Linked DNA regions of Cricetulus griseus. The main gene of each other region encodes a partner of the protein of the gene in region 5 in a complex. Links are inferred from orthologs where the notes say so. Each region holds a gene or a part of one and is shown on either strand. Other genes may lie near its edges.

The links.
Region 1: Arid1a (region 5) and Phf10 share a complex: the UniProt entries of both Homo sapiens proteins name them as parts of the neural progenitors-specific chromatin remodeling complex. The link is inferred for Cricetulus griseus from reciprocal best matches to the Homo sapiens genes ARID1A and PHF10.
Region 2: Arid1a (region 5) and zinc finger protein neuro-d4 share a complex: the UniProt entries of both Homo sapiens proteins name them as parts of the neuron-specific chromatin remodeling complex. The link is inferred for Cricetulus griseus from reciprocal best matches to the Homo sapiens genes ARID1A and DPF1.
Region 3: Arid1a (region 5) and Smarcd1 share a complex: the UniProt entries of both Homo sapiens proteins name them as parts of the neuron-specific chromatin remodeling complex. The link is inferred for Cricetulus griseus from reciprocal best matches to the Homo sapiens genes ARID1A and SMARCD1.
Region 4: Arid1a (region 5) and probable global transcription activator SNF2L2 share a complex: the UniProt entries of both Homo sapiens proteins name them as parts of the neuron-specific chromatin remodeling complex. The link is inferred for Cricetulus griseus from reciprocal best matches to the Homo sapiens genes ARID1A and SMARCA2.
Region 6: Arid1a (region 5) and Dpf3 share a complex: the UniProt entries of both Homo sapiens proteins name them as parts of the neuron-specific chromatin remodeling complex. The link is inferred for Cricetulus griseus from reciprocal best matches to the Homo sapiens genes ARID1A and DPF3.

What each region holds. Positions count from the first base shown.
Region 1 is NC_048595.1:293,991,631-293,995,116, forward strand, and holds the end of Phf10 (PHD finger protein 10), read right to left. Parts: intron 2,240-3,486; coding exon 2,131-2,239; intron 1,860-2,130; coding exon 1,671-1,859; intron 1,409-1,670; exon of another isoform or gene 696-1,408; coding exon 610-695; 3' UTR 501-609; downstream 1-500. UniProt on the Homo sapiens protein: Involved in transcription activity regulation by chromatin remodeling. Belongs to the neural progenitors-specific chromatin remodeling complex (npBAF complex) and is required for the proliferation of neural progenitors.
Region 2 is NC_048602.1:6,521,092-6,525,310, forward strand, and holds the start of zinc finger protein neuro-d4, read right to left. Parts: upstream 2,801-4,219; 5' UTR 2,703-2,800; coding exon 2,590-2,702; intron 2,291-2,589; exon of another isoform or gene 1,430-2,290; intron 1,203-1,429; coding exon 1,042-1,202; intron 941-1,041; coding exon 833-940; intron 1-832. UniProt on the Homo sapiens protein: May have an important role in developing neurons by participating in regulation of cell survival, possibly as a neurospecific transcription factor. Belongs to the neuron-specific chromatin remodeling complex (nBAF complex).
Region 3 is NC_048595.1:396,140,286-396,144,411, reverse strand, and holds the start of Smarcd1 (SWI/SNF-related matrix-associated actin-dependent regulator of chromatin subfamily D member 1), read right to left. Parts: upstream 2,801-4,126; 5' UTR 2,618-2,800; coding exon 2,441-2,617; intron 2,249-2,440; exon of another isoform or gene 2,229-2,248; intron 1,833-2,228; coding exon 1,645-1,832; intron 1,366-1,644; coding exon 1,323-1,365; intron 1,224-1,322; coding exon 1,101-1,223; intron 655-1,100; coding exon 532-654; intron 1-531. UniProt on the Homo sapiens protein: Involved in transcriptional activation and repression of select genes by chromatin remodeling (alteration of DNA-nucleosome topology).
Region 4 is NC_048596.1:34,699,164-34,702,663, reverse strand, and holds part of probable global transcription activator SNF2L2, read left to right. Parts: intron 1-1,079; coding exon 1,080-1,243; intron 1,244-2,657; coding exon 2,658-2,724; intron 2,725-3,392; coding exon 3,393-3,500. UniProt on the Homo sapiens protein: ATPase involved in transcriptional activation and repression of select genes by chromatin remodeling (alteration of DNA-nucleosome topology).
Region 5 is NC_048595.1:19,582,495-19,585,994, reverse strand, and holds part of Arid1a (AT-rich interactive domain-containing protein 1A), read right to left. Parts: intron 3,324-3,500; coding exon 3,114-3,323; intron 1,050-3,113; coding exon 842-1,049; intron 1-841. UniProt on the Homo sapiens protein: Involved in transcriptional activation and repression of select genes by chromatin remodeling (alteration of DNA-nucleosome topology).
Region 6 is NC_048598.1:120,509,408-120,512,907, forward strand, and holds part of Dpf3 (zinc finger protein DPF3), read left to right. Parts: intron 1-870; coding exon 871-952; intron 953-1,470; coding exon 1,471-1,541; 3' UTR 1,542-3,500. UniProt on the Homo sapiens protein: Belongs to the neuron-specific chromatin remodeling complex (nBAF complex).

The DNA.
Region 1 (3,486 bases), about 270 Mb from region 5:
GTATAACTCAGATAAAGGCTGGTGACTGTAGAATGTATTCTGTAGACATACTAAATGGAGTACGGCACTTGCAGTTTTAAAGAGGTTCTAAAGCCAGGTCGGAAAAGCTTCCCAGAGCCACTGTGCACAGTAGGGATTGTGGAACCTGATACTCTCCTGGCAGGCAAGCATTTACACATTGTTGCTGTGCCAGCTGGTGACTATTCCAAATCCAGTTGTACCAGATGGTTGGGCCCTCTGTCCTTTCCTCTGTTGGCCAGATTGGAGTGCTCTGGTTATTAAGTAACTGATACTACCTAAGCAGGTCAAGACAGTCTCAAAAGACTGTAACTTTTCAGACTCAAGAAGAAATATTTCAAATTAAGTTGCTACCTCTTTCTGCTGATCTCTGGAAAAAGACAGCACTAAGAGATTAAAATCTGGGAAATGAGACATTTCTCTCTGACTTTTTCTTTCAAGGGTATGAGTTGCTACTAATGAAATAAATCAACTTGAAGATGTTTAAGGTCATAGTTAATTTCAAAAAAGGTTCTTTATTGGCATAAAAATGAAAGTGTAAATAAAATGGCACCAGATATCCCAAACTGAGGGTCAGGTCAAAAACCTATTTTATCCCTCTTTGCTGTTTTTTCCCCTTCTGCCCACTTTCCTGGGTGTTGGGGGAGCTCGCTGACAACAGTCACAAATCCAGCGACCTAGGAGAAAAATTGTTAGTTAATATGGAGTGGAATTTTATTTTTATAGGACTGAGTACAAACCACCTAAACTCATTCCTGAGCTGTCCATAGTGATAACTCTCTGGGATTTTTTTCAGTGGGGAGGGAAGTACTGAGCTCCTTAAGCCAAGGGAGAAAATGTAAACAACCCTTAATCAGTGTAACCAATACAATTCGGAATTCAATGCACAGACAAGATGGGGAAAGGGCACAAAACAATCATTTGTACCTTAAAAAAATATGTAATCCTAAAATTCAAATACCATCATGCTTTTAAAACCTCAACAACACAATCCTAATGTAGAACTTGTTAATGGATCTGGCTTTGTGTGGCCTGTTCCACTGTTCTGACACTAGCACCTGCACCACACACTTGAGCTGAATTACTGCAGAACCTGAGTGATTATTCACATCCTTACGGAGGGATTCCAGGAAACTGAGTTTTATAGAGAACTATACAGTGTTAACTATGCAACTTAAGTCCTTAAAATTGCACAATTACCTGTATAATGTTTCAATAGGATTACTGTGATTTACTATTTGATTCTGTGTCCATCCTAAAGTTTTCTGGAATTGTCATGCTGCCTCACTTTATAGGAAGATGTCTTAGTATATATATAAAGGCATAGCAGTCACTTTGTTAAGTTTCTAAATAGACGAACTTAAAAATAAAATGAAAGCATTGAAACAAACTGGTGGTGTTACTTTAGCAATTTTAGTAGAAAACACCAGCTCATTCTATCCCTCAGACAATACTTCCAAACCTAACCTAAGTATTCTATTTCAATTCTCCTTTGGTTGCACTAAGGATGAAAATCAGGTAGCTGTGACATGGACAGTAACAGCTTGATCATAATTGGAACATGTTCATGTCATTTATACAGCCTTAAAAGAATGCTGGGAGATCTTCATCACACAAGATAATGGGCTTTTTTGTATTTTTTTCATCTTTACCTGATGGAATAGCACCAAGGCCCACACAAAAAGTATGATAACCTCTGTCACACACATCACAGAACATCATTTCTTCTTCATGGTGGGGCTGTCCACATATAATGCATGTCTTACATTCCATACACTGCCATGGGTAGGTCTTAATTATAGAAACAAGCTCCATGGTCATATCCAAGCAAGAAGGGTGGCCTAAATCAAAACCAACATTAATAGGATTTCACAACAGAACTTTCAACTTAAGGCACATAAAACATTAGTTCCCAAGAATGGCTGCCAGGATTAATGTTACCATAGACACATCAAAATACAAAGTAGCAGATACATGGGTTCTGACTACAGCTAACAAGTCACTATTCATTTGCTGACTCTTTGGTGGATACCTAGCTGATAACTACAAACCCTAGCTTTTAAGGCAATATGCAGGGGTGAGGTAAAATCTTAAGGAGACATCTCTACTTACCACTGTTATCACACTGGGAGCAGTGTATAAGTGATTCAGCCTTTCCTTTCTTGTTGGATTCCTTACCCTTCAGACAAATTCCACATAGAGCATTTGGAATGACCTTTGGCTGGAAGGGTAGAAGAGGGCTATAAATTCATGCCAGAAGAACTCACTATGGGTTCAAAAGGGATTCTGTTATTACCTTATCTTTACTTTTGGTAATCTGATAATGAAAACCTTTTTGTAAGACATAACTGGATATGAGATGGATCAGAATATAAAACCCCCAACTAATGAAAGCCTAGACTGTACTCCATAAACCGCATCAACGTGTGTTGCCTAAATGTAGCACTCTGCTCCCTACACACACAGCATCATCTCTATAAAAAAAGACCAGAAGGAAAAATGAAATAGGATGTCAAATGCCACTAATAGTTGGGAAAGAAAATCCATATACCAAATAACCACACATAAAGCTAAGCCTAAGTTTTAAGCTTATATTAAGCTTATGTTCATTTTATTTCAAAAACTGGTGTTTTTCCAGTGATAGAGCTAAGCCTACAAAATCTAAGCTAAAAAAAAAAAAGACACTATTTCAGTATTTTAATTGGAAGCTGTCTTGTCCATACATTGTCATGCATAAATGTCTATAGAAATCTGAGTTGGATGCATAGTCTTGTTCCATGTCTAAAAAGAACTATGATAAAAGAGAGAAGCAGTCACTGTGACGTGTAAAACATAAAAAGTTTTTGGGCATGGAAAAACTATAGTCAAATAGGAAATATACAAAGCATATTTTGAGTATTATCTTTCACATTAAAAACACACACAGTATTTGGGCTTTAAACATGGAATGGGATAAAATATAAGGAGTTTCCTACACTTACAATGCCAGGGCAAGGAAGGGATAACAGAGCATCATAATCTTGACCGTCACGGACGCTGCTCACATGTACTATATATAGGTGTGCGTCAATAAATGGTTAAAAGGTGGGAGGGACAAAGATGGTAGCAGGGCAATAATCTAACACAGTCAAACGCATTGCATCTCTTTCCTGATGCACCATAGAGATCTAAACTCAAACTTTTATAAAGCAGTCTCACTTTAAATGTTCCACTGCCACTTTCGTACCTTGTCAAACCTAAATAATAATTTGCTTTTACTTTTTTAAAAATATTTTCTTTGCAAAAGATGACAGAGGCATTCAAAAACAATTTTTGGCTTATTTATTTTTTTAAAAAAGTCAACCTTATACATAAATATGATAAAAACAATATCTAAACAATCACAAATGTCTCTACAAAATAATAAATATCATGGAGTTAAACAAACATATAAAATGTCCCCATTGACTGCTCTCCATCCTCTGTGTA
Region 2 (4,219 bases), on a different chromosome or scaffold from region 5:
GAAAGCACTAACTCCAGTCAGTCTATGAACTAGCACACACCTCAAGAAGCACCTAACACAGAAACAAGCCGAAAATCTCCATAGCAATTTCTCAGCATCAGGACCCCAGCAGGACATTCTGGTGGAACCATATATACCCCCAGAAGAGGTAGATATACACAGTCCCAGCACACACACACACACACACACACACACACACACACACACACACTTGGAAACACCTAGAAAGAAACAGGCATTCTAAAACACTCAGCAACAGTTACAATGAGACACTCAACTCAGTGGTTCTCAACTTTCCCAACGCTGTGACCCTTTAATACAGTTCCTCATGTTGTAATGACCCCCCAACCACAAAATTATTTCGTGGCTACTTCATAACTTTAATTTTGCTACCCTTATGAATCGTAATGTAAATGCCTGGTATACAGGATACCGGATACGCAACCCCAAAACACAGGTTGAGAAACACTACTAAGTCATCCAAACACACAGGGAGATAGCCAGATGCCCTCCAGCACCCACAGAAAGAAACACAGCGGGACATGGGCGTACCCCGGCTCACAGGGGAGCGCACACAGTTATCTATCTAGACACAGATAAAAGGATGTCCTCCGTACACCTGCTCGCCACGGCCCACACAGCAGGTACATCTGGAAGCTCAGAAACTCAAAGGAAGTAACTCAAGACACGGGGAGGGGGGGGACGACGACGACACAGATAGCCTGTTGTGGAGACACCCAGGGGAAATAAAGGCTACATTCTGGCTGACAGCAGTGGGGCTGAGGACTTCGATGGGGGCCACAGCGGGCGCAGGGGCCACAGCTCCACCCACCGATCTTGTACTCGCAGGGCCGCAGCCTGGGGTCCTCCAGGATGTTGAGTCTCCGTTTCTTCCTCCAACAGCGGGCGGGGTAAGTGTAGATCTGTCCTGGGGCCAGACCTGGAGGAGAGGGAGGGATGGAGGGAGAGGGAGGGAGGGCGGCAGTGAGCGTGCGGCCCCGGGACGCAGGCCCCGCCCCGCCCCAGCCTCGCGGCGGGTACCAGGCCCGCGGTGGGTCTTCTCCATCCAGATGTAGCAGTTGTTCTGGGCCACGCCGGTCTGCGAGTCGAGAAAGGGCAGGCGCAGGCTGCGCTCGGCGCACAGGCGCGCGTTGTAGCTGCGGCAGTGCTCGATGGCCTCCCGGTAGAAGTCCTCGCCGAGGCTGAGGGGGGCGGGCGAGCAGCGGGCGAGCGGCTGTCAGCCAGGGAGGTCCAGCACCCTCCACCACCACCCCCCCCCCCACGCCCCGGGCCTCCCGTTCCCGCCGCCGCCGGTCCGCAAAGGGCGAACCAGCCAGGGCCCCCTCCCCCTCCTCCTCCTCCCATCCCTGGGGACCCGGGGGCGGGGCGGGGTGCTGGCTGGCTGGCTGGCTGGCTGGGAGGCCGCTACCTGGAACTTGATTATGTCTCAGGTTAAGTAAGAAGTGTGTTCACAGAGCGAAACGCAGCAGCAGCAGCAGCAGCAGCAGCGGGACCCATGCACACACGAACGTAGCCAAACACCCAAAACAAACAAATCGCACATGGCCACACGGGATTCACACACAAAGGGAAACATATCCCAAAATTCACAAAGGAGAAGCAAACACATTCACACACACACAGACACACAGACACACAGACTGGGGTCAGAAACAGGCCATAAAACTACCTCTGCACGCCACGCATCCAGAGACCCCCAAGATAAACACATTGTCCACAAAGCCCCCCGGCGTGGCAACGTACTACGCGCAAACGTCGCAACAGTCGCACGGTGTCCAAAGCGGCTTGCCCACACACCTCTCTCCAAAGACACGGGGTGTCAAACACACGATACAAAGAGACCACGCAGTCACACGCGCGCACGCTCACACCCGGGGGGAAACGCGACCCCAAACTCGAAGCGCATTCCCAAGCACAGGTACACGCCTCGGAGACGGAGGGACAGCCAGGTCCGCCCGTGCTCGCACCCAGCCTCACACCTCCCCGTGCAAAGACGCAGCCTCGAGGGTGCAGCCTCAGCAGACGCGCGCGCACACACTCGGAGGGGACCCGAATGCCCAGATGGGCACCGTGCAGAATAAAAGAGACAACCATACGCACATACCCACACATCCGGCCAGAAAACAAAACAAAAAAGCAACGCACAAGTCGCACAACACACTCCACGCCCCAAGACAAAGGTAGCGTGGGCTCGACTCGCGTGTACTCAGGTTCCCTACGCCGCTTCCCCCTCTTGCAGACCGTGGCATCCCCGGGAGGGGACATGACCCCCGTCCCCTGGAAGCCCTGGGGGACCCCTCCCCCACGCCCTGCACCCGCCCCGGACATCACCCTTGCCAGACACCCGCAGTCACACACGCTCGCACCCCCGCTCGCTCGCTCGCACACGGTGACAGCCCCCTGACACCCCACCGGCCCCACCCCCAGCGGCCACACACACACACACACACACACACACACACACACACACACACACACACACAGAGACACGCACACGCGCGCGCGCGCGGCCGCGCAGACCCGCCCCCGCCTCCCACTCGCCCCGCTCGCCCGCTCGCCCGCCCGCACCACCTCAGGGGGCCGGGGATGACCGTGGCCATCTTGCTCCCCGGGTCCTGCCCCCAGCAGGTCCCTGCCGGGTCGGTCCTCCCAGCGGTCGGGCGGGCGCTGAGGCCGCCCATCCATTCATTCCCGGGGGGCGGGAGCACGCGGATCTCAGCCAATCAGGACGGCGGGGCGGGGCGCCCGGGCCATGCCGGGAGTGGTAGTCCCCCCGCGGGTCCTCTAACCCGGGGCACCGGGGGATGGAGGATCACGCAGTCCCCGGTCCCACGTGCACAGACGCATGCACGCACACACGCGCACGTGGCCGCTTACACACAGCCACGCTCGGCTCGCAGGCTCTCACACACCCCACCTTCACTCACGCCCCGCCACAGGCGCCCAGACCTCGCCAGTGCCCACCCAGCCGTGTCACCAGCATGCCGGAGTTGACGCCACCTCTCCCACCATGCCCTCCAAACTCTGGAGCACCCATCGTGTCCCAGGGCTGACTGTCGCGGTCGGTCACCCGGGTCCACTCCTCCGCAGGACTACAGGACTGTCGTCATCCTTCCCGGGCTCAGATCCTCGCTGATAGGACCTCGGGCACATGACTTAACCTTTCTGGGCCTGTCTCCTCCTTTAGAAAATAGTTATAACACCTCATCGGACTGAAGAGTAGATGAGTGACAGGGTAAGTGGCTGCTTTCGTGACAGAATCCTACTGTCCAGCTCAAGCTGGCCTCAAACTATAGTTCTCCTGCCTCTGCCTCCCTGAGGTGTGTGAAACCACACCAGTCGCTGTAAAGTGTTTTCAAAGATACATAGCAGGGCTTGGGGGTGGTTCTGGTAAAAGAAAGTGATCGAGAGCCCATGGGTTCAATCGCAGTCCCACATGAAGAAATAGTACCTGGCAAGTACTAATAAATCCATTTATTCCACAGAGAAGACATCTACAAAGAGGATCTGACACGTACCAAGGCATAAAGTGGTTACGCCGCTCTAGAAAGAATAATGCCTGCCCGCCCTAGTAGGTGTCCAACAAATATACGTTGAGTGGTTACTTAACATTTGCTTAACACAGCTCTCCCCAGACTAAACTATTACTGTCCTTATTTTCCAGACGAGGACTTTGAGATCTGGAGGAGAAACCTTACCTGTTCTCTGCCCCTGACTGCTGTCTGAAGGTAGCACTGAAAGACGAAAGATTCATTCACCTGGTCCCTTCCACTCTTCTCCCTCGGCATCCACACACCCTATCCTCCTAACAGAACCCCAGCGAAGAGCTGACCTACCGAGTCTCTCTCTCTCCCTCTCTCTCTCTCTCTCTCTCTCTCTCTCTCTCTCTCTCTCTCTCTCTCTCTCTCACACACACACACACACACACACACACACACACACCCTCTGGGGAATAACTTAGCACTCTGATTTGAGTGGCTGCATAAATTAGCATATCAAGTGTTAATACAAATACCCCGTTGTCCAGCAGGGGGTGTTCCACCCACCGGGCTAAGACTCAAGATTTCCTGAACTACACACACCCCCAATCTTAACTCCCTGCCACAAATGTCCCCAAGTCATTCAAGACCTTGACCCACCCCTTCCCCAGCGTAGGTAGGGCATCTGATTCACTTCCTGCCCGGAATTAAAAGAGGGA
Region 3 (4,126 bases), about 380 Mb from region 5:
CCTAAGGAGCTGCTGGGTGGGAAGTGTGGGGGCTCTCACTGATCTGATACTCCCCTTAGAGCAACAAAGAGCCCAAGCCTTTGGAGAATTCTATCATACTTAAACTGTGGTATCTCCAATGAAAGCTGGGAAGACAGAAATAACTTCCAGGACTTAAGAGAGGGAACATGGCCTCAAATGCTAAGCATAGACTCAGGAGGTGGGGATGAGGGACTACAGAAGTAATCTGCAGATGCTGCTAAATCCAAAGGCTAGCATCACCAGGACAGAGTAAACATCCAGTCAGATCCCAGGACAATAATGGTTTCCATTTGATACCAGTGAAGCTGTGGGAGCAGATACAAAGGACCATTGTCTTTGTGTGCAGGGAACACAGGGTCTTTCTCCCTCTCCCCACCCCCCCTCTGCTTCCGGAAGCTCCCAGCAGGACCTATAAGCACCAGTCAGGCTTCCTGCTGACCATACAACATTGATCATCACCAAGAGCTCCCACCCTGAATACAACACCAACACAGTGGACCTTCAACTCACATCCTCCAGGAGCCGTCCTTCTACCCGGAGCTCCCAGGAAGCCACCGTCCCTTCCCCATCCTCTGCATCTGACTTAGCCGGATTGAAAGTGTTAGAAATGAAAATTCGCAGCTTCCGTTTTTGCTGAGGAAGGCAGAAACAGGATTGATGATGGAGCCTCAGTAGTTTGATGTTAAAGACAAAGGTTTTCTAGGCTGGCTTATGATAGGTGAATAAATACTCCACTTAGAAGAATACAGGCCCTGAGCCTGAGCATAAATAAATATGCTGGGATACCAGGTGAAGAAAACCATACAAAGTGGCAGGTTCCCAAGGTAGCAAGTAGTTATAGCAAAAACATGGGCAGGGTATATTTCTGGTGCAAGAGACATCAAAAGCTCCCCCGCCCCTTTCCCTGCCAGCTGCTCTACTCTTATGTTCCTAATGTAATTCCTGGTTTGTAGGCGGAAGGGAAAGATGCAATTTAAATGCCAAGGAGGGCTATGCTGTGCCTTTGAATTTTCATCCTAAGCCTGGAGAAGGTTCCTGTCCCCTCCCTTGACCCACTGCCCAGTGCTTTCCTGTGTTACCTTGATGGGACGTTTCAAAGCCTCCTGGATATCTAGCCGTTTCCTCATAATAGTCTGGTCCAGTTTCCTTTCAAAAGCCAGGAGATCCATATAGGCCTGTGATTCTGGTACCAATTCCCGAATCTTAGGAACAGAAAGATACGATTGGGCCCTAGAGCTGACCACCTGTACTTTCTCAGTCACTACATCTTCAAGAAGAAGACCTCTAGAGCCTGCACTCACCCTTTGAGGTAGGATTTTGTCAGCCATCTTCTTTTTCTTTGCACTGTTCGGAATAAATACTGTTATCAGGGTGGGATGGAACTGTCAGAACATGAGCTAAGCTGTCAGCACCTTTGTTGATGGCACAGCTAAGGCCTGCAAAACGGCTTTCTCATCACCATCAACTCCCTCTCCACCTCCACCAGGAAGCCTTCACAAGGGTGAGTCTCTGCAGCACCATTTGGTGACATAGCACCACCACTTCCTGGTTCAGTACTCCCACCACTTGAATCCTCACAGGTCTCCCAGTAGCTTCTTTCCTTCACCCCAGGCGTCATCTTACTTGTGATTTCGATTTTGGACCGCCTGCTGCTGGACCTGCTGGATCTGTTGAGGCGCAGGTCTCTTGCGGGACTGGTCCATCCCTGACTGGGCCAGGCCAGGTCGGACTGAAGGGTTCCCCCCATAGCCAGGAGGTCCCATGGAAGGTCCCTGAGGTGTCATCCGGCTGCCTGGCAGCATGCCTGGTCTCTACAGAATGGAGAGGGCCCAGAGATGTCATACCTTTCCTTGACAGCTCCACCAAGAAACGAAAAGTGATGGAAGCCTGAATTTTTGGAATGAACAAGGATGGGGGTGGGGGAGGTAGGGTGGAGGACAATCACACAGCCTTCTTTCTGCCTCTTTGAAATACGGTAACTGGACCTTCTTCAGGCCTGGTAGTGGTTTCATAGAATATAGGGTCTAAAAACCAGATCAGACTCAAATTTTCTGGAATATGTGGGATCTGACTCACCAGACATCTCTACATTTACTTTATTACTCAGCTAACTATCTCCTCAACGTGCAGCTCTAACTTGAGTGTTCCTCTGGACACTGAGCTGCCCACCTCCGGGCCCACTTCACCCACCCTGGCTCCACACTCACTCCTCAAAAGCAGACAATGCCGCTGGGAGCAGGTGAGGATGCTAACCTCCTCCCCCAATCGCGCTCTTCCTCGGCATTGCTTCCCCCACCTCCATCCAGGACCCGAGCCCCTCCCAAGGGAGGCCCTCCCACTTCTCCCTCACCCCTGTCAGTTCTCCGCCCTCGCTCGGCCCCGCCCCCGGCCCACGCGCCCCTCCTCCTGCCCCACTCACCGGATAGGCCGCCCCGGGCATCGGGGAGCGGTACAGCCCTTGACCCGGCGCCGGGCCCATTCGCACCGGAGGCCCGGGAGTTCCGCCCGGGCCCAGAGCAGCCGCCACGCCCGCCCCTCCCGAGGCTCCGGCGCCGCCGCTCGGAGCCACAGACTGGAAACCCGCCCGGGCCGCCATCTTCCCGGAGCCGCCGCAGCAGCTGCACAAAGAACCGGAACCGGAACTCCCCCCGCCCCCCGCGCGCCCCCCGAGCGCCTGGGCTGTTTGTGGGCCCGGCCCGCCGGCGGGCACGGGCGGCTCGGGGCAGCGAGACTAAGGCCTAGAGGGGGCAACTAGCGGAAAAGGCGTGCTGACCACTCCCTCCCGCCTTCGCGGCACAGGAGGGGCACCATAGAGAAGTGATGTGCGGATAGAGAGGTGACGGGAGCGGGCGCCCCCAGGCGGGCGGAGGACGACAAGGCGTTGGAAAGAGACGAGCGCACACCGCAGGCTGGAGACACTGTCATCTCAACACAGTGCTTTTGCCTTTCCAAAGCATTCTGTTTGCTTTGCTTTCCATTCTCCTACTGCTCGAACTCCGGGTACGAAAGAGAGAAACGTGCTGTTTATTCGTTTTACAAACGGAAAAGCTGAACTCAAAGGAGGGAAATGTCTTGGCAAAGACAAACCAGCAAATTAAAAGAAAAGCCATCCTAGATTCTGGTCTCCTGGCTGGTAGCCCCGGCTTCATTTCACAGATAATGGCTCAATAACTCTCCGACGCGGGAACTTCACCCTTCATCTCAGACCATTGCCTTCAGATATTAATGAATTTTGGCCATGAATCCTCTCCGAAGGTCCTGGAAATCTGTTGCTGTTCATTGCTCTTTCACTGCCCAGTGATTCAAACTATTCCTGAACCTGTCCTTTTCCAGGAGGACCAGTGTTTACCTGATCAAATATGTAGGGTCTCATGTAGCCCAGCCTAGTAGTACACTCGCTCTGTAATGAAAGATACCTGCTTCCATCTCCTAAGTGCTGGAATTACAGGTGTAGCCACCACACTGGACTACCCAAATTCCTTACTCTAGTCAACATGGCCCTCAAGGCAGGCTGCATTCTAATGGTAATCCTTATAAACTCTTCAACCAAAAAGAACAACACTGAGGAGGAGATGGTTGAAACCCAGTTTATTAGACCAGAGGCATGCGTCACTCAGAGCCCCGCCTGCTGTCCCCCAGCCAGTGGATACTTCTCAGCTTTGTGCCTGTTTCCTTCTGGGGAGTCTGCTGTCTACAGAACTCTAGAGAACCAAGAGTTCTCAGAGATGCTATAGCCCCACTCTCTGGCTCCAGGCCAACGCACACAGGTGGTCTGTCCACAAGTCCTTTTTGGGGATTAGAGGCCAAGAGACAGACAGTGCAGTCAGAGAAGTCCTGCAAAGGGTTGGAGCTCTGGCCTGGGAAGAATGCCTGGTAGGGGTGGGGAGGCCCTCTTCTTCAACTTGTGGTCCCTTAAGGTAGGGACACACAACAGCAGAGCCCTCAACTTCTCCTCTAGGCCTGTCTCTTTCCTCACATGACCAAACCCTGCCTCACCAAAAAATACAAGTGGTGGGCCTGGCTATCAAAGTGAGGGAGGGGCACTGGGCACCCAGAGGAGAGAAAGGCCACCGAATGAGGACTTCCGCTTCTGTCTGTGGGTACC
Region 4 (3,500 bases), on a different chromosome or scaffold from region 5:
TGGTGCTTCCCTCAGGAAAACTGTCATCAGTACAAGTGTATGCCCCTCCATCACATTGGGCTACTTGATCCAGAGAGTGTTCACTGCTTCCTCCCTGACACAAGCTTCTGAAGGGACTGTGAGTCTACCTTGGCATCCATCTGCTGTAGTTCCTTGTATGATCCTGTGTGAAGAAGAGTTGTTTAAACATTTTAAGTGCAAGGTCATAATGTTTTCTCAGCATAACTTAATTAGCAAGTTAACTTGACTGTACCGTGTGTATGTGTGTGTGTATACACATATGTATACTTATGTTACATATGATTGATGCTGTCATTTAAACCCAGCATTGCATTATGATAGTGATAATCCATGTTCTCACCTCATTCTTCTTTTGTGCTTAAATGAGAATCTAAAGCTGGGACTTGGGTGCACTGCTTCCATGCTTAGAAAATGCATTGTCCATCTTCCAGGCAGCCAGCTTCCAGGGAGCTGCCTTCTCAAAGTGCCCACAGTGCAGAGTTTCTGTGTGCTGCCTGGGGCCTTTCTTTGCCAGGAAGAGAAATGTCCTTCTGGAGGCCAGCCGAGTGGCCTTGGCTCCCTGGTCACAGGCTTCCTGCATCAGGGATGGCACCCTGGGGCAGGCTGTTCATGATCCAGAAAGAGGTTTCTGATGATCAGTGGTCTGTGTGCCAGCTCAGCCTTCTGGTTTGTCTTTAATCCTCGAATTGGTTTTTTTGTTCTTGGAGTGGTTGGAATAGATTTTGGTTTGGGTTTTCTTCATTTATAATAATTCTAGAATGTCATCTACTGTGAAATGTTAAGTATGGATGAGCAACAAAGCTGCTTCAAATCCCACCAGTGCGCTATAGCCCATCCTTTCTAAATCTGATTAACACCGAGCACCTGCCAAGCAGCAGGGGCGATTACAGGCTCATCTTTTAAATTCCTTTTGCGTTGGTGCCTCCCCCACTTTGCTACTGTGGGAAACTCAGCATACAGCATGGAGAAGTTAAGAAGTCACAGCCTCACTTGAGTTGTATTAGTATTAATTACCTGTGCAGATCTTGGATAATTGAAACAATTACTCTTCATTTCAGCTCCAGGGCCTGGAATGGATGGTTTCCCTGTATAATAACAATTTGAATGGAATCTTAGCTGATGAAATGGGGCTAGGCAAGACCATCCAGACCATTGCACTCATCACATATCTGATGGAGCACAAAAGACTCAATGGCCCCTATCTCATCATTGTTCCCCTCTCGTAAGTACAGTAATTTATTCCACAGTCATCACTCTCTATGTTGGAGATTGCCCTATCAGTGGCTCGCCCTTGTTTCCCATTTCAGATAGAAAAGTAGTATCGTTTTGGAATACCAGGAATACATAATCTGAATATTGGTTTTAATTTTCCACCCAAGCCCACCCATCCCACTGCAGCCTTTTGGCTGGCTAGTAAAGTACGTCTATGTAGTCATTCTTATTGGCCATTAACATTTTACACCCTGTAGAGCAATCTCAACCTTCCTCGTGCTAAGACCCTTTAATACCCTTTAGACCCTCATGCTGTGGTGACCCCCCCACACCATAAAGTTATTTCATTGCTACTTTGGAACTGTAATTTTGCTATTAGGAATGGTGGTGATATGCTGGATATCTGATTATGTGACCCCATTGCCCAAAGGGCTCATGACCCAGAGGTTGAGAACGGCTGATGTAGAATGGGTCCGAGTAAGTAGCTTTTTGAAGGGAAAAGTGAGAGCATTTTTAGAGCTATTTTCCTTGATGTACTTACACTTGTACACCTTCCTTATTGTATCTTTAAAATCATTGCTGTGATCTCTGCATCAAAGTAAACTTTGTATGTACACATGGCGTTTCAATGGCTCGTTGCTCCAGAAGGACAGTCTTTGCTGTTTCTAGCACAGCCCCAAGTCCTCGCCCACTGGTGGCTCCGGCTGGTCTTTACCCAACAATCTTTGAGCCACCCTCCCTGGGAGTGAAGTGCTTCTATGCATGCGTGTCAGGGTGACACTTTACTCACTGAGATCTTGTCATGGATTGCAGTCCTGAGACAACTCAGACCTTCAGGAAGAACAAGGCTGTTGATTTTGTATTTCCTTCCATTTTTTTTTTTTTCAAAAGAAGGCTCTGACTTATCTGCCTCCATAATATTTACATGCCCTTTGCATTAGACCTATATTTGCATGGTCTGACTTGGATATTTTGGTTACACTTTTGGGGTTTAAAAAAAATCATTCAGTATCTCTTGCTTCTTTTTGATAGACCTACTTACTGTTTCTTATGGTTTTGTAATTTCTCTTCCCCATATGAAGTTCTTGGAGCTTACGTGGCTAGTTGTGACAAACCCAAAGCATCAGTGATTGTTGGTTTTCAGAAGCACAGGAAAACTCTGGTGTTTTGTACCACACATAGTTGTCCAGTTTTGAATTGTTTTTTTATGAGTTTTGAAATGTAGAATTAACACATTTTGTGGCACTTCATTTCCAGCTTACCTCCTATCTCCATACCTTTAGCATAAATATGTATCTGGGGTATTTTGTATTTTTTAGCCCAGTTTAAGGCAAGGGCTAAAAATAAGTAACAGTTTTCTATTAACTGAATTTATATACATGGGTATGTGTGTGTTTACTGTGTTTTTTGTTGTTGTTTTGTAGGACTCTGTCTAACTGGACATATGAATTTGACAAATGGGCTCCTTCTGTGGTGAAAATTTCTTACAAGGTTTGGAGCTTTAATATTTATATATAAATGTGGAAAAGCAAAAAAAAAAATTGGGCCCTCTTTTCTTCATTCTATATGCACATCTGTGAACTGTATTTGGTTGTAAAGTTTTGTCATGTACATCATGTACTAAACAGTGAGAGTTAATCATCCCAAGAAGATTACTGTAATAAACCATAATTACTTTCAGATAGTGAAATGCAGAAGAAAATTGTTAATTATCATATTGCGAGGTTTCTGATGAGAGTAATACAAATGACAAATACCGCACTTTCTGTGTGCTACTGACTGCCTCACTGTGGGCTGCTACTGTGCCGAATGTTCCTGCAAAGTCAGGCAATTACTGGGGCGCTGGGGCTGCCTGCTGCACGCTCCCACAGAAAGGGAGCTTTTCAGCCAAGCAACGGGTTCCCTGCTACTGCAAGCTTGCTGCAATTTCCTTCTCTCTTCTCCTTTTTCGGCCTTAAGTGGGAAGCCTTCCTGAAAGGATCTGGAAAGGGTCAAGATATGTGTGGTTTAGCTACCACTTTCTTCAGGGATAATAGAGCAGTATATGGTAATACATTTATGTGCATGTCACCTGTCTAGGTTCCATTAAGCTCTGAACAGTGAGAAATAGCACCTATGTACTTCCAGTGGGTAATCAATGTATTTTTCTTTCCATTCAGGGTACCCCTGCCATGCGACGCTCCCTTGTTCCCCAGCTACGGAGTGGCAAATTCAATGTCCTCCTGACTACTTATGAATACATTATAAAAGACAAGCACATTCTTGCA
Region 5 (3,500 bases):
CTTCCTCACTGCCTTGCTTTTCTTTCCAAGGAACTTGTCTAATGGTAAGCACCACGATGATGGTGGAGCAAAAACTGAAATCTAGGATGCAGAGGAGCCACATGGCCAGAGCCTAGATGTTTTTTTTCTCTATTAAGCACCCAGTCCAATGTCATCCTTAGGTTCCAATGTTCCTCTAAAGAGACAAGCACAGAATATCCAATAATTAATGTTTTCATTAGTTAGTTTCCCACTACTGAGGCCTCTCCAGCTGATGAGTCATCTCAGGAATACACTCCTCTCTCAGAGGTCAACAATGTGTTTACATCTACCTTCTGGGGTCCATGCTAACCTAGGCCCCACCTCCTCTGAGAAAGGAGGTTAGGCAGAAGAAGCATAACCTCATCATAAAGTCCATTCATATCCCCTTCCTACCCCTCCCTTCCATTCATTACTGTCTCAGCTCTCTGGGGAATTTAGGGCTCTTTTTCTGAGCTGCATTCTAAGGCACTGACATCAGCAGGCCAAAGCTCCCAGATGGCCCAGCCACACTGCGATTTGTCAGTTTTCCCTCACTACTCTGGTGTCCCTCCCACTCACTAGTTTACAAACATTTGGCAAGATGCCAGGTGTACAACAGGAAAATTAGAAAGTGAAAACTTAAGGCTTCTGCATAGCACCTCCCAAGGGAGTCGCCACTGCTGCTCTTTAGTCTGCCAACCTGCTAACCCACGTGGATGGGTAAAACACACATCTCTGGCAACTGCTCTGCTCCCTGGAGGGAGGGAGGGAGGCACCACTGCTTAAGGAACCCTGCAGGCTCTTAAGGATACCATCCTTGGGGGTGCTTGTCCACTCTTACCAGGAGAGGGAGGCTGGATCTTGGGCTGGGACTTCTTGGAATCAGCAGCTGCAAAAATGTCTGGGGGAGGGTCTTCTCCCCGTTCGATCTTGCACTCAAAGGCGTAGAGACACTGGATGTATTGCTTCTTCAGGGAGCTGGCTGCACTGCTTGATGTACCCACATTGAGGTTGGTTGCAAGTTCCCGCCATTTCTTGTTCTTGTTGACCTGTAAGACCACCAGAAGAGTCAAAGTATACTCTGACCTGGCCTTCCAACGCACAAGCTATGAGCCCAAGCTGGTTGCTGCAAGAAACATATAGTTCCAAGTAACTGCAGGTACACTGCTTATTCAAAAGGCAATCAGGGACATTGGTGGCGCATGCCTTTAATACTAAAACTCGGGAGGTAGAGGCAGGCAGATCTCTGTGAGTTTGAGGACAATATGGTCTGCAGAGTTCCAGAGCAACCTCCAAAGCAATACAGAGAAACCCTGTCTCAAACAACAAAACAAAAAATATAAAAAACCAACAAAAGAACAGGGCATCAATACCGGAACAGAATTCAGCATATGGTCTTTATCTCCAACCCTCACCCCCTCATTGACTCTGTCAGGCTAAGGTTTTTACATGGCTGCCTTCCTTCAGTGTAAGGGTGACAACTAAAGTCGGTTGGTTCACAGTTCTGCCCCTATCTCCAGCCCCAGCGTACATTGACCAAATCCATTTCCCAAGTGTTCCTTCTAATTTGACCTGTGCTGCCTGGACAGGTTTCCACTGATTATTCTTAAACATGATGGCAAACTTAATCTATCTAGTGCTAAGAACACTGATATTGAAGTCCGATCCAAAGAAAGACCATTGGGTTATGATATCAATGCTAGCTGTTTAGGGAAACAGAGAGGAGACTGAAGGGAGGTAACCAACAATAATCCTTCCTGAGGTGGTTATGGTGAGTGTAACAGACATCTAGGCTGTCTGGTGTAATTCTGCACATCCACCCTCACCCACCCACGTCACCTGGTTGAGTCTACTGGGATGGCCCCCTTCACTGATCAGTCAGAAGAGCTCAGGGCTCAGTCTTGCCTTTCTCAGCTCTTCACTTAAAGACAGTTCTCATTGATTTTAGAATACAATTAGTTAATTACTTAACAGCAACTAAAAAATTCCCCTTTCAGCCAGTTGGTGGTGGTGCATGGCTTTAATCCCAGCAACTTGAGAGAGGCAGAAGCAGGCAGATCTCTCTGAGTTAAAGGCCAGCCTGGTCTACAGAGTGAATTTCAGGACAGGCTTCAAACAAAGCTACAGGGAAACCCTGAAACTGTCTTGAAAAAACAAAACAAATTTTCTTTTCAAATTGGAATACAAGCTTAGGATCAGAGATTCCTTCTACAGCTTGTCCTGTGTTCAGTGAGTTCGGGGGTCCAATAGTCAGAAGAAAGGCAAAGTTACTAAGTAAGCAACCAACCCTCCTTACCATAAGCAGCACACTAGGCCTAAGAGTTAGGAGGAGGAATGCATCCTGTATCACCTCAGCAGCCCCAAGCAGGTTTGCTCCCCACTTCAGTTATATGGCAGTTTGCATATGCCTTTGGGGAGGGTGTGGGGGAGGTGACCGAAGCCTTAAGGGAGAAGGAATTCATAACTGACTGTTAGCCGGCTTCTTTCCCCCTAGTGACACCTGTGTTCCTTTTCTGATTTAGGTATGGAATACACCTCTCCCTTTCACAGGCTCTCCCATCCCCACCCAGGAATTTCTGGTCTGGACAATAGAGACAACTCCTCTGAAGAAAAGTATGTAAGGGTACACTATCAGTCAGTGAGTGTAGCCTCACCAGTGTCTCTAGCCGAATGCAAATAAACCTGCAAGTACACAACACGACTGAACCATTCTCAAGTCTTTTTATACTTTTGTCTCATATATAAAAGTATACTTTTATACTCATATTTTATACTTATATGTCTAGTATAAAATAATTAGACATATAAGTTTTCACAGCTCTACTTCCTCAATAACTACTCTGAAATTCTACCTCCCCCAAGACGTTTCTTGAATTCAAAGGGTGAATGAATCTGCCTGGAGTGCCAACTTACAGACCAAGTAATTTGGTGGGGCCCTTGCTGAAGCTTTCCACTCATTATTTCTAACACTTGGCAGGGCGGAAGGTTCCATGTGGTGCCTGTTTTACCATCAAGAGAATTAAAGCTCATATGGTTTGTAGAACTTGGTTAGGCTCACATGTTTCAGCCTGTGGGATGCATGATCCCATCAGAAGCCAGTGGACAGTGCTTACCTGAGTCAGTCCACCAATCTCCTTCACAGACACATAGAGGCGATAGAGGTCCAGAGGCTTCCTGCCCACAGCGGGCAGGTTCGTCATACCCATGGCCTTCTCCTCTGTGAAGGCCAGGTATCGGTCCACCCACATCTTCCTCTCTGGCTCGCCACCCAGCTCATACAACTTGGTGATCTTCTCATTGGTTGTAGTAGAAGAGCTGGATTTCTGAGGAAAGGGTCAAAAATTAAAGTCATCAAAGCCAAACACAATGCATATGAAGGGTGCCAGAGACCCCTTCTTCTCTGTCCCCTCCCTTTAAGAGAGCAAGTCTTCTAAGAGCCCAGAGCTGGTGGTGGAATGTTCCTGCTTTGGTCTCTTAGATGCTGGGATTATATCCCAGAA
Region 6 (3,500 bases), on a different chromosome or scaffold from region 5:
TCATTTCATGGATAGCCCTCGATGAACACCTTTTCAGAGGCATCTGCTGTCATATACCCTGGACTTCCTTTCCCAGGACCTCCACTTGCCATCTAACCACCAATGACTTTCAAATCCATATCTTGGACCCAGACCTCTGTCCTGATCTCCAGCCTCCAGGACATCCATCCCTGGTGACCCTGGATCTATAGTTGAGGCTGTCCTCTCTCTTTTCTACCCTCATGGCCACTTTTCTGACCATGTCTCAGTGGCTAACTATGCCATAGCCCAGGCAATGGCACCAGTCAGTGACTATTTCCTCATCGCACTGCCACAGCCTTACTCCAAGCCTTCACCAGTGTGACTGTCTTCTATTTCGAGAACCAACCACTCTCTTGCTCCAGTCTCCAGCTAGGGAAGAGGCTTTTCTTAGCATCTACATTAAATCCTGAAGGAGTTTGAAGATGCAATGGATGTTACCACCCAGTACAGCTGTTGCCCATTGCACAGATGGAAGAGTGGAAATTCAATACATGTATTAGGTCATTGCCATGGGGTGGAGGGTCAGAGAAATCCGTAAGATCACTGGCCATGAGAGACCAGGACAAGGAATTTCTGTGAACTTGAATGTAAGGTAGCTATCAGGGAAGACTTCTAAAATAGTGAGTTAAGAAGAGCCCCGAGGTGGTGAAGGATTTATATGGTTGGGAGAAAGAGGGTGATTTTCAGGTGTTAATAAAATATAAGCCGCATTTAAGGGACAGCGAGGACTCCAAATGGGGCCTAGAAAGTTATCTATGGAAATAAGAGTAGAGGAATAAGTGGGGGGAAGACACTGTCCTGGAGTAATTGTATCTCTCTTCCCCACTTTACCCCTTTTGTATCTGCCAGGACCAGCTACTCTTCTGCGATGACTGTGACCGTGGTTATCACATGTACTGTTTAAATCCCCCAGTGGCTGAACCCCCGGAAGGTAATGACGATGAACTCAACAATAACAACAACAACTACCACGCCTACCCCTTATTGGTCTCTTACTATGGTGCAGGCCTTGTGCTAAGGGGGTTTTCATGTTTTGCCTCATTTCATTATCACAGTCCTATGAGGTTAGGTAGAGCTACTCACAGAGGACCAATGACGAGACTGAGGCATAGCGCAACCAGATGACATTCTAACCAACGGTTCAAGGAGATATTTCTCAGATGTGTGGCTGCAATAGCGGGGAGGTGTGAGTTTCCAAGGGAACTGGCACAGGTGTACCAAGGCTGGCTAAGAGGTGTGACAAAGCGGTGGGACTCTTTATATAGTTCCTCTGTTACCTCTGAGCACCCACTTTACACTGAGCAATGGACTTCACAAACCTTCAGGGCTGAGACTTGGTCTCTGATTTGTGGAAATCAAAGGCAAATAGGAGTCACCAGACATTAATGCCTTTAGGCTGGGGCCCAACAGTTAGAAAGGCTGCTACTAATGCTATATTGTCTCTTATAGGAAGCTGGAGCTGCCATTTATGCTGGGAGCTACTCAAAGAGAAAGCCTCAGCCTTTGGCTGTCAGGCCTAGGGCCTCAGGTCACTGAGTGTGACCAGCCACCAGAGAGGCTGAACTGGAGCCCTGTTGGATCCAGATGGAGTTCTCCTCCTGCATATCCACACAGACCAACTGTAAGGAAAATGAATAGTTATGGAAGGACATGAACTCGTGGAACCAAGGGGGCAAAGTCTCTACTCACCTACTGCCTATGACCGCCAGCCCCACACGTGGTACTTCAGCCTGTCCTTCCTCTTTCTACCAGAAGGAGCTTGTGCTTCTGAAGAACAATCCAGCCCCAGCCCTGTGTAAACTTCCTCACATTCGCCCTCACAGTACATGCCTCTCCTTGCTTCCTATTTTAGAGGAAGCCATTTTTTGACTGCTCACCAATCTCTTGTGTGTTATTTGGTGGTGTTGTTTTTTAATCTATTGTGTTTCAAGATCCCTTCACAGTCTCTTCACCTTTAGCTTAGGCTCTTCATCCTAAACTCTCACAGAGGAACAAGACGCTGTGGAGAAGTTGTTATTTTGCTACAAATTTCACCGGAAATGGCTACATTTGGAGGCCATCTTGAAGACGGAAGGTGGAAACCTCTTGGTTAAAGAGATTTGTAGTTTTTGAACCTGAGCAGTGGTATGAATAGCTGGCATGGTCTCCATCCACTGCACCACCACCTGAGGAGGGGTTGAGAGGGCCCGAGAGATGGGAGGGGAAGCTGGGAACCCAGCATAACCAGCCAGTATTTGCTGTTCATCAAGAGAGACTTTGCAAGGGACTCGGTGGTTCCTTGACCTTCAGACCTGTGGTGTCCTTGAGGTGAGACAAACCACAGCCTACAAACACAGAAAAGTGATGAAGATTCCCAGTGCCTCCCAAATGAATTGAGTGTCAAGGCCTGGCTCAATTTCTGCTGATGGGTCTCAAGCATCAGAGAGGTGGGCAAAGGCTGCCCATTCAATGGTCCAATGTTGGATAAAAGAGAGTGTTGGTTTGAGAAACACTTCAGTGTTAATGCTAACTATGAATTCCTTTCCCGGGCAATTTCCTCCTTCCATGTTTGCCAGTGACTACTGAGATGTGACTGGAAGTTTTAGAATGGAGGAGAGATGATCATTACTTAACTAGATCATTGAGCATGGTGATTACTTGTGACCAGGTGGCAATGATTCAGAACCCTCACCTGCTCTTGTACCTTAATCCTCCCCCCATATGAGCTGGACTCCTGTTTGAAATAAGAAAGTTTCCAGAGAAAGAGGTAGGGAGGCCTAGATTCCGAGAACTCTGTGAATCGGACGACAGCATTGTGGGCTGGAGTGGGTTGGGCTGTCTTTGAATCACAGCATGACAACTGACACATTTCTGGAAAAATCATTTGCCCAAAGGGCAGGTCTCAGTGAGCAGGACCCTCGCGCATGCTCGGCTTCCCTGAAATCAGCTCCATCGCTGTGGTCCAGCAGCTTGCAACAAAGGCCTGGGTTATTTTTAGTCTTCAGCTCCTGAAGAAGCCCCTGGAGACCTGGGCTAGTTGGGCCACTCTGCCCAGATGCAGCAGTGCCTCTACCCACACCACAGGAGTCATCCTCCCCCGGCTAATTGCTCTTGGCATGTGGACCCAGGGCAGCCTGGCATGGAGCCAAGCGGTGTGCACCCTAACCCCCACTCCTTTGCAGAGTGACCTGTGGCAAGAGAGTGGGGGTCATTCTCCTGCAGGCCTTGTGGCCTCAGAGCTAGTTAGATGCATACATAATGATCTCATTTAAAGGGCCCCTGTCCAGACAGTGTTTTTGCCTTCCTCACAAGCTCTCTCCTTCCTTCTGTTGGTTGCTGAGCCTGTGTGGATTCTAAAGGCCCAGGGAAGGGCAACTCCACAGAGAGGTACATTCCCTCTTCAGAATCTGCTGGCTTGCTCTTTCTTCCAACAACACCTTAAGCAGAATATCCTCAAAGACTAATTACTTGGTTGGGGATTCGTTTTAAATTAATTTTAG